3 linked regions of the Bombyx mori genome follow. The protein of the gene in region 1 binds, or shares a complex with, the protein of each later gene. Links are inferred from orthologs where the notes say so. Each region holds a gene or a part of one and is shown in the gene's direction. Other genes may lie near its edges.

Region 1 (3,613 bases):
CAGGTTCCGCGATGTCCTCGGTCATTTCCTTAGGAGCTTCCGAAATGATAGAGTTTTGCTGAATGAAGGGGCATTTGGTTTCGTCATTTCCCAAAGAACGAAATCCACGAGATATAATCGGGCAATAATTTCCGTACTGCTTCATCAGGGTCGCACCATAATTTTTCACGAACGCTTGGTTCAACGATCCCAAAAACGGACAAGGCATTTTACGATTTTTATGTAATCGATGACACAAAACACTTATGAAACTTGTTGAAGTTGGAAATAATTTATTTAAGGATAACTAAACGTTGGCTCTCACTGTAGCCGAACGTTCCACTGTGGTCTGTGACCGATCAACTGGGAGCTCAGCTGACAGCGACTTTCATTTATAAAGTTTGTGTCGTCATATCGATTTGAACGTACTTTTGCTGAGCTCCCGCAGTCATACACACTACAAAATTTATTTTGATTTGATTTCGTAAGCTTAGTGTTGCCAAATAGCTAATGTCATTTGGAATTAAATATCAACAATATTGAACGATTTAATTGTATCAAAAGTATATTAAGAAGAAATTTATTTAATAATTGCATTACTTTTATCCATGATAATTCTTAACTTGTTTTGTAATTCAGTAAAATTTAGTTTTAGTTGTAATTTATGAAACTTAAATTCACAATCGACTAAATAGATTTTGATGCTGAATGAAGTTTTGACAGTATAGCTTTATTTTTCCAACTGGAAAAGCAAAGGTGTAGTACCATACAGTCTAATTTCATATATATATTTATGCATTTTCACAAATACTAAACAGTTAATAAATCATCGTTAGTACACATTTAAACCTGAAGAAATATTAAATAGACAAAAAAACCAAATCATACAAGTTCACTCTTCGTGCTCTCGCCAAAAAGTCCTGTCAATTCAGTCTTAATGCATAGATAATACACAATATTTCTAATGCCGGCCACTCACATGCGGGCAAATATTCGTACATTGTACGAATGTTTGCGCTCATGTGAAGGGCCGTCAAACATTCATTCGCAAACTTAGCAGCTGTGCAAATGGGTTCGCATACTCAATTTGCGAACCCGTTTGCGCTTCCTCCTACACTTGTTTACGAATGTCTCACGAATTTCTCCTCCTTTTTAATTCGTCAATAGAACATTGAAAAGAAAAAGATTTTTGAATTCTTTCCCAGACATCATTAACAGCTATGCTGTTTTTATGGGATTTCTTTTGATGAAGATACGCTACACAGTAGACGTCACGAACTATGAAAATGGCGATACGTCCGTTACCTTCGCAATCGTCGGCGCAACTGGGCAAGCGAATGTGTGGGAGACTACGTGAAGGTTCGAGGTTCGCGCGCTTTGATGTCTTTTAAAAAAACGACACAGCTTGGAAAACCACGAATGCAGCGAAAACTTTGCATAATCATTTGCAAATGTCGTTCTACATTTGCGGGTTTGCGTATTCGTGCGCATGTGAGTGACCGGTGTAATGCCAATGTGAAAATCTGGGACTTTTTGGCGGTGGTTTATCAACTGTTTAGTATCTGTGAAATTGCACAAATGTGGGAAAATAAAATAAAGCTGCTGGACATAACTTCTCGGGATCCTCCAAAAAGTCCACTGAAAGAGTCTCAGTAAATGACCACTATTTTACCGAGATTATATTTCATCCCATATCTTCGCATCATAATTCATTTCATATTATCGTGTTTCATATTAAATAAAATAAATGAATATAATATAATAGATTGAGCTGTATGTTATGACATCCTTACCTTTCCAGTTGGAAAAATAAAACTACTACTACTGAATTGATCAATTGACAGACCAAGATAAATTGATAATGAAATGAAGTCACACATGTAACAAATGGAAACAAACTGGCAATTTAAAAGTTAAACAATAAATAGTGTTAGTAATAAATAGTATTATAGATACACTAAAATGTTTGCGTTTAATACCCAATTAGAATTACGTCGAATAACAATATCAAGCCTTATTACATGTATTTACTTGCCTAGTATTGTGACTGTTATATCGTATAGAGGGTCGCTCTACTATGTGGGCAAAGGATCTTCTTTTTATATTTTGGTACTAATATTCATTGCCGAATTACTGAAGTCGTTTTATCTTAGCGCCCCGAATGATATACAAGGAAAGAAAGGCAAGACCAGTAAAACGAAAGCAAGCGACGTCCTCAAATCGTTTGTGTTTCTCCTAGGTGTTAACTTTTGTTTCTTTATTGGAATAATACTTTTTGGCGCGCCTGTATTAGACTTACATGAAGAAACATTGATGTTATCCACGCTCTTAACTATACTCACAATATTTCCCCTCATACTTCATTCTGGTGTGGAATGTTCTATGCAACTATTGTTTGGTGTGAAGAGCTTTGCCAGGGACACAGTGGTCGAGATGCTAGTGAATAATGCCATGCTAACCGTATGCGGCGCATGGCTGGGGGCTGTAGTGATACCCCTGGACTGGAATACTCCATGGCAGCAGTGGCCGATTCCTTGCTACCTTGGAGCTATAGGTGGTTACTTGCTGGCTAATGTATTGACAGTATTCAAAGCAACCTTAATGACAGCGGCCTACAAATATCCAGCAGTCAATTTCCTAGTTATGATATTGAATAAACTAAGGGTTTCGAAGTAACTAATCAGGCTTTACTTATGTTTAAAATTATAATTTTTAATTTATAATTATGGTAAACTTGTATCATGTTTGAAATTACTATAGTTTTCTTAACAAGTTTTTTTTGTTCATATCGTTGTTTAAAATAAATGTTTTAATCTAACTTTGTAGTTTTAAATTATTTCAATTGTGATCCATAAATTGACTGTATAGTTGTCATACCCTTTCTTTTACAAAACTCAATATCACTAATGAGGTAACTTATCTGTATTACTTGTTCTAATTATTTAAAAAATTGACCCGATAACAAGTACTACTCTAGCTAAGAGTCTTTTTTAAATTAGGATTTGATAATAAAAACATTTTATCAGCTGAATTGTTTTATATTTTCAAGCAAGTGCCATGTTAATCTATGCCTATGTTTGTTGGATAATTAGATATAAAAAAGCCTATAACGATGAAATGGCAGGTTTTACTGTCTTGGCAGGGGATTGAGGCCACGGCTCACCAAGTTCATTTACTATGGTGTATAGCCCATAGACATTGCGAATTATTTTTCAAGTAGACATGAGTTCTAAGTCTCAACTGTATAGTAATAAGTGTTATGGTGTACCAGTTCAAACTGGAACGCATAGTTTCTACATGGCAGAAATAGGCAGGATTGTGGTAATTGCCCAAGCCAGGTAGAAATCAGTAATTTGGCAAATATTTTTTGAGGAGGAAACTTTCCTAAACATTTGTTACGTACGTATTTCATTAGAAAATTACCTGCCTGCTGGTTTTGCGCACCAGCATGGTAAAATCGATGGATATGAGTACAACTGGCGTTTTATGCGTCGGTCGCGTCTTTAATTTAGGTGTTTCATTTTAAAAGCCAGAAACGTTACCCAAAAATCAATTTAAATTTGTTTAAAACAACACAGACCGAACACATACAATCTCCCGTCTAGGTCTGTTTAGGTTATATGCTTAGTGTCTA
Region 2 (3,332 bases), on another chromosome or scaffold:
ATACAAACAGGTAGAGAAGTTGAACAGACTGATTTAGCGCCAACAATGAGTGCTGCTTTTGGTCGTCCACCGCCCGCACCATCCCTTGGCAACATTCTGTTTCCAGTACTGCCAAAAATGACCGTAGCCGAGACGCTACTGCATTTAACTAACAGCCTCAAGCAGGTAACACGTTCTTAATACAGTTTTGTGGAAACCATTGTCTGTTTTTTGTAGTCTACAAGAATGTAACCTTTGCAGGTTTCTCAATACTTAGTCCGTTACGGTGAAGAATCTCAACAGGTATCTTTAGATCGATTGGCGCATCTTATTAACGCGACAAGAGAACAGATAGAGAAAGCTGCAACGGTAAAGACTGAAGATGATCTCTCTATTTACGTTTCGAATGTTAGGTGAGTATGTTTATTGTATCATTATATCCTATATTTTGGGTGCACGTTTTTGCTAAAGGATTTTCTTTGTTTCAGATTGTTAATGGACAACGTGCGCATAGTTTTTCGGGAAGTTTGGGTTGAGTTTGACACAGTTTCAATGCTTAGAGCACTTTTGTTACTTATTCTGGTGATATTTTTTAATTGGTTGATTGTTGAAGGCATACCCATAGAACGTCTTCCAAATATTTTTGCAAGTACTTTCGTTTCTTGTGGCCTGATATCAATGGCTATTTGCGTAAGCGTATGTTACACTGTCTTTCATTTTGAACTGTTAGAAGATGTTCATCATGGCGTTATTTTAAGCACGGGCTTAATATCTAGTGCGTTGACTTGCGTTTTGGTGATCATGCATTGGGACGGTATTTCACAACGGTGGTATGAAGGGAGATCGCCAATTTACGAGAGATTCTCCCGTGGCGCCTTAATGGCCTCAGCTGCTGTGTTATTATCTAATAGTTACATTATAGAAGAAGGAGCTGAATTATCTTTTCTAGCGTTATCGGTATTGGGCACGATTGCTTGGAATATTGGGACGATTAAGGCTTTCACTTTGTGGGTGGGTTTCGGAGCCACATTAGTAATTAGTAGATCGTATAGGGGATGTAGAGAGGAACAAGGAGATTGTTGGACTTCAATAGGTGTTGGCTCAACTGGACAGGCTTCCCGGACAGCGTTAGTAATGGCTTTAGGTTCAATGGCAGCTGTGGTTGCAATAGCGAGACGACATGTCGGTTGGCGAGGTCATGGTGTCGTCTTGGCTGGTTTGTTTGCATGCGCCCATTGGGCCCTCGGTTGGGGGGCTTTAGGTTCGCCCAGCAGATCAAGACAACTAGCCCGTGGATCATGGCTGATACTCGGATCGATGTTCGTTTTGCTTTGGAAAAGGGAAAGGTTTGGAGCAATACTGCCGTTAATTGTGTGCAGTTTACTCTTCTTCATTGCCAACGCCCTCGTTCTTGGTGCGTCTTTTGCTCCGTCTGCCGCTTTAGGACTATTGGCTGGATATTTGGCTCTTAACGTTGTTTCCATGATGAAGAATGGGAACTCTAAATTCTGTGAGTATTTTAAAACCGTTACTATTCTTACTGTAAGTTGAATCATTCTAATAATTTCTAATCACGTCCTTACGGATCCATCAGATCCAATAACCTTTGTACTAGACGCCTTCAGCTCTAACACTAGGAGCAGGCTTAGGGACCCCCGTAACTATACTCGTCGAGCTCGACAAAGAGGTTGCATCAACTCGCCGAATTTCTCCCCGAATCTTCTCAGCGGGTCGCGATTCCGATCCGGTAGTAGATTCATTCGCGAAGCAGTTGCTCTTGAGTAGTTAGGTCTCCTTCGGAAGCGCTCGGGCTGCTGTTAGCAAGTCCCACCTGTCCTGGTGAAACTGGAAAGGCCTCCGGGCCACCAGTAATCCTTCAATCATAAAAAAGAAGAATAATAATTTGTGAATTTTCAGCATTATCAACTCGATGCAGCTCGAGTGTGGCGTGCATGTGGGCTCTGCTGGCGTCTTACCAATTTTATGGAACGGGCCACCATGCCACGTTGGGCCACGTACGATGGGCCCCGGCCTTCCACGCCGGTGATCCCAACTACCTCCCTATTGGACCTTTTGTCACTGGTGCTCTTGTCTCCTTGGAATTATTTGGTAAGTGGAATAAGATCAATAGTAGAGTAGGCGGATACCTTAACTAGTCGATATATCAGTCTAAATTATAATTCTCAACATTCTTTTCACAATAAATTGTGTGTTCAAAGTACGTAAGCAATTTTGCAGGTACGTTACGAAATAATGCGGTAGAAGATAAGGACATCTTATCATTAGACTAGGCCATACATGTGACACGAAATTTGATATCTAATCTAGGCACTTGAAAACATGAAATTAAATGTACACATGCATGTTTCATTATTATTAATGCGACTTTGAACGTAATTTTCTAAATACCTTATGCGCATAGATATACGGTTGAAATTCCGGCTGCATTATATTCTAACCGGAATGATTGCTGCAGAAATAGGTAGGGGCTTACAATTGGCCCTAATATCCGTAATCTGTGGTTCAATAAAAGACGTTAGGTTATACTGGGAATGTAAGGGAAAGGAAAGGGCTTAGCCCTTAAGGCACTCGCACGATTTTGGTCAAGCTGGAAAGGCCTTCGGGCTGCCAGCATCTTTCCACCCCAAAAACAACGATAATAATTGAATGTACCACCTGAATATCTGTGGAGAACAATATATGTGATTTGACCACTGTCTTATTGATTTAACACACTCGTGTGTGTGTATTAGAATTTTGTGATAAATTTCCCAAAAAATTTGGAACATGGATTCTGAAACAAAAAGTTCTACGTACTAACTTTCTATATTTATTTATTTATTTCTGTTATTTTCTTAATAGGCATATTTCTGAAGTTCCGGTTTATTTAATTAAGGACATTAATCAATTTCTACGTTTTGACTTAGATCTTTTCTTGTTTATATGTTTAAAAATGTTTTTGAAGTTATACTTCTTTAGGCGCGTTATGAAAAATTTATGAGAGTGAAATTTTACGATGCGCGCGCACCGTGACACAAAATTAACAGAATGAAGTTGCCCACTAAATCGCTCATTACAATACGACCGACGTAACTTGGCGAGTCTGAATATAGCCGCAGGTGAACTTTCCGAACCGTACCGAGAATTACCGAATTTATACGATGTCAAGAAAAGAGATGTCCAATATGCGTGTTTGTGGATGTTGTTTAATCGATTTTTTTTCAAATTGATTAAAATGTAAATAAAAAAAAAAGAAATAAATTTAATAAAAATAAAGTATAACTTCTTACGCGCGTACATAAGTACACCAACCCTTTTTTTTCATAATAGGCATATCTCTGAAGTTCTAGTTT
Region 3 (3,821 bases), on another chromosome or scaffold:
GTTCTATCACTAGTATTTTTATAGTTTCGACAGGTGACCGGGGACTGCCACCCGCCTCGGTGTCCCATAATAATGATAATTATAATAATTCATTAATGAAAAAACAATAAAATAAACAAAGAATATGTATTAACAAACAAGTAGGCCTTCTCAACTAAGATTATGATATTATTTCATACAAATTCTACCTTATATTTACGTAACAGGCTATCAGTATTATTGATAGTCCGCAAGTGAACCATGGTACTATGGTTCAAGTACCGACAGTCATAACAGTCTGCTAATGTCTCAACTGTATTAAATAAAAATTCTCCCACCCTGGATACCAGAACGCATTACTGCTTCGCGGTATAAATAGACAGGGCTGTGGCCCAGGCGGGTTCATAAAACGCCCTATTGCCAATAATCACCCAAATTATAATTTTTGCAGGCTCGATTTTTATTGTACGATTGAATATAATGCTAATGGTGATTATTCCGACCCACTTTATAACGTGATAAAGGTCCCAATTGCACTAGAATAACGTACTCGTAGAACTCGACAAAGAGGTCGACGTGCAAACTAACCCAAGCATCAGCCGGTAGTAGATTCATTCGCGAAGCAATTGCTCTTGAGTTGTTAGGCCTCCTTCGGAGGCGCTCGGGCAGTTGTTAGCAAATCACACCCCTCCTGGGTGAGCATTTGCTCGCCCACCTGTCCTGGTGAAACTGGAAAGGCCTCTGGGCCACCAGTAACCTTTCAATCATAAAAAAAAACTAGAATAACGGCTGTCTATAAAACGTTAGACATTAAATACCTATATACATAAAATTTATTCTTTGTTACTAAAACAACTGTGTCCTTTCTTATAGAGTTTTACAAGCAATTCGAGAGGGCCGAAAATCAATTTGCCCACTATTTGGCGACCGGTCAGCAAAGCGCCGCGAAAATATCAAAAGAGTTCTACGAACAGTCGCTGGCGGAGATGACCGAGTACCTCAACGGAACCACGGTCGACTTCGACATGTTCTCTATAGTAGTTGCTATAATACTGCTTTATTTTGTAAGTTGCATTTAAATAATTTTAATTAAATTCATTCTCTACGAACGGATGGCCGTTGGGGCCAGAAAGTTCTTGAGTGGCGATCGCGTACCGGAAGACTTGCGTGGGTAGGCCTCCCACAAGATGGACCGACGATCTACTGAGATTCGCGGGGATCCGCTGGATGCAGGCAGCGAAGGGCCGGTCTTTGTGGCGAGGCGTGGGGGAGGCCTATGTCCAGCAGTGGACGTCTGTAGGCTGATAAGAAGAAGAAGAAGAAATTCATTCTCGAGCTATTTATCATCATTAGGAACAAATCAATACCGAACGACCCGATCTTATTTTCAAATCCGTCATTTGAACTACAAAACTCGACTGAAAATAACTTCGTAAAGTGTGACGTCATTTGTGGTCAAAATAATCTACTACCTTATACGTACGTACATTCGTCACACTAATGTTACCTCCGGTTTGAGCCCCGAACGCTCACCTACACGCTAGAGTAACGCTGATATAGGCTATCAGCATAGATAGGGGAAAAAAACTAATCTTAAATTTATTTTTATTCCAATGCCTTTTCCCCAAATTTCGACCGCGAATGTGAAGCCGTATCCGTAGTACAACACCTCTTTTCGGTGGTAGATTCTGCGAAGCACTGTTCTCGTTAGGGCCACTGTTAGCGACACCTCTGGTTTGAGTCCCGAGAGCTCACCTACACACTAGGGCATCGCTGATATAGCCTCGAGGCTATCAGGAAAAAAAAGTACAACTCGATTGATTTTACATTTTACATTGCAGATTGTCGCGTCGCTTCTGTGCGTAACTCTATACTCACTCCAGCCGGACCACAGCAGGAAACACAGTACGACGAAGCGAGGCTACCAAAGCTCTAACGCCGGTAGAATAGTGGCGTTTCTATTCATGCTCTGCTTGTCCGGTAGCGGCTTGATCGTCGCCTGTTTCATAACCGAAACCAAAAGTCAGCTGTGCTCGTTCAACGGGCTCTGGCTACCGGTCCTTTTAGTCGTCGCGGCAGCGTTCACAATAACATACTTCATCATGAAAACCGGCATCGAGAGAATAAAAAATCTGTCGTCGCTAAACGAGCTGAACGCGATCGATTTTCTACTGATCGGCGGGACAGTTTTCCATGCGTGGTCTTTCTTCGGCACGAGTTTCATCGAGGAAGAGCACATGACGTGGTATTTCTTCTGGAACACATTCATGTTTTTCGTTTTGATACGGAGCATCGTGGTTGTCGTTATGTATTGGAGTAAGAAGATGACCGGCGCGACTGAAGTACAAGAGAAACCTGGCTTAGATGAGAAAATGAGCGCCGTCGGTATCAGTATTGTCCCGAAATGGGTCCTACTCATAGCCTTACATAGGTTAGTGAAATATATTATCAATAATTAAATACCATAAGCAGGATTTTTTTTATTTATTTATTTCTTTGTTTAATCAGCTTTAAGCACAAAGGTACATTTAATATTTTACAAGGAGGATTTAATACAAGTAGTAGTTTTAATAGATATGGTATAATTATATAGATACATTAGTTTTAATGTTCTAGACATGTTGAAGGGTAGGTAGGTACCATCATCCTGCTGAGACCTGCCGTGAAACAGTAATGCGTTCCGATGCGAAGCGTGCGACATAATTCGGTACACAATATAATTCAGATCTCAACATCGTTCTCATTTGATACCAGACTAGCGGCCCGCTCCGGCTCCGCTCCGGTCTTGAACAAAAATTTCAACGATATTTGACGTTATTTTATTTTTTTATATAAAAGAACACTTCCCGACACTTTTTGTAAATAACAATGTGTTCTACAAAGTCGTAGTACATTATTTTATTCTATCATCAATAGTTTTCGCAGGGCACGCGATTTAAAGAATATTTTAGGTAATTTTTTTTACACCTTGAGTTACATTATTGGAGTTTTAGTAAGGATCCCTAATTTTTTTTCAAAAAACATTATAGCCTATGTCACTCGGGTATAGTGTAGATTCCAAACAGTGAAAGAATTTTTCAAATCGGTTCAGTAGTTTCGGAGCTTATTCAATACAAACAAACAAACAAATCTTTCCTCTTTCTAATATTAGTATAGATGAGCCGTGAGCTCATTCGTCCAGCTAAGCATTGATATTTAGAATAATTACGTGAAATAATTTCAGATATTTGCGCACCATGAACCAGACCGGGGACCGCTGGTTGTTCCTGCCGGACACAGCGGACTGGCTCAACGAACCTGAGAACTCGCTATACTTAGAACTCCACGTGATCATTGGTAAGTGCTAAACGATATTTTTTTTTAACGAAGTTCCTTATCGCGCGTTGTGAAAGGGGGCTAGACGGAAAAAATTCTTACAAAAAGTTGTCACAACACTTTTTAGATCCGTCATTCTGACCAATCAACGTGTAGGGGCTTATCGCGTGACATTGCTCGTATCCGATTGGTCCGCGTAATGAGTACAGTTTCTCGAGATAGCGTTTCAACAATAGTAATATAATTCATAGTATTGTTTTTTTCTTCTTCATAATGCCGTAATTTATTATTATAACTTAAAAAAAAAATTACAATTCCTTCACTAATTAATCGAAAGGAACTTCGTTCCATCCGGGTGTCCCTTGACACCTCTGAAGTTTTTTTTCTTCCTGCCTAAGCTGATGGTTTTGAAAGACCATTTTAGCGTAACCTTAACTAGTAGGTGAGCTCACGGGGTTCAAATCTGACGACGTTGCTAACACGAACCCTAGCAAGAGCAGTGCTTCGCAGAATCTACCACCGGATCG

The links.
Region 2: phosphatidylinositol-glycan biosynthesis class F protein (region 1) and GPI ethanolamine phosphate transferase 3 share a complex: the UniProt entries of both Homo sapiens proteins name them as parts of the ethanolamine phosphate transferase 3 complex. The link is inferred for Bombyx mori from reciprocal best matches to the Homo sapiens genes PIGF and PIGO.
Region 3: phosphatidylinositol-glycan biosynthesis class F protein (region 1) and GPI ethanolamine phosphate transferase 2 share a complex: the UniProt entries of both Homo sapiens proteins name them as parts of the ethanolamine phosphate transferase 2 complex. The link is inferred for Bombyx mori from reciprocal best matches to the Homo sapiens genes PIGF and PIGG.

What each region holds. Positions count from the first base shown.
Region 1 is NC_085115.1:1,480,449-1,484,061, forward strand, and holds phosphatidylinositol-glycan biosynthesis class F protein, read left to right. Parts: upstream 1-1,807; 5' UTR 1,808-1,941; coding exon 1,942-2,655; 3' UTR 2,656-2,793; downstream 2,794-3,613. Other genes in the region: 5-aminolevulinate synthase, non-specific, mitochondrial, read right to left, coding at 1-208.
Region 2 is NC_085125.1:5,254,793-5,258,124, forward strand, and holds part of GPI ethanolamine phosphate transferase 3, read left to right. Parts: coding exon 1-165; intron 166-240; coding exon 241-392; intron 393-467; coding exon 468-1,489; intron 1,490-1,896; coding exon 1,897-2,088; intron 2,089-3,332.
Region 3 is NC_085125.1:9,588,225-9,592,045, reverse strand, and holds part of GPI ethanolamine phosphate transferase 2, read left to right. Parts: intron 1-852; coding exon 853-1,043; intron 1,044-1,820; coding exon 1,821-2,410; intron 2,411-3,202; coding exon 3,203-3,315; intron 3,316-3,821.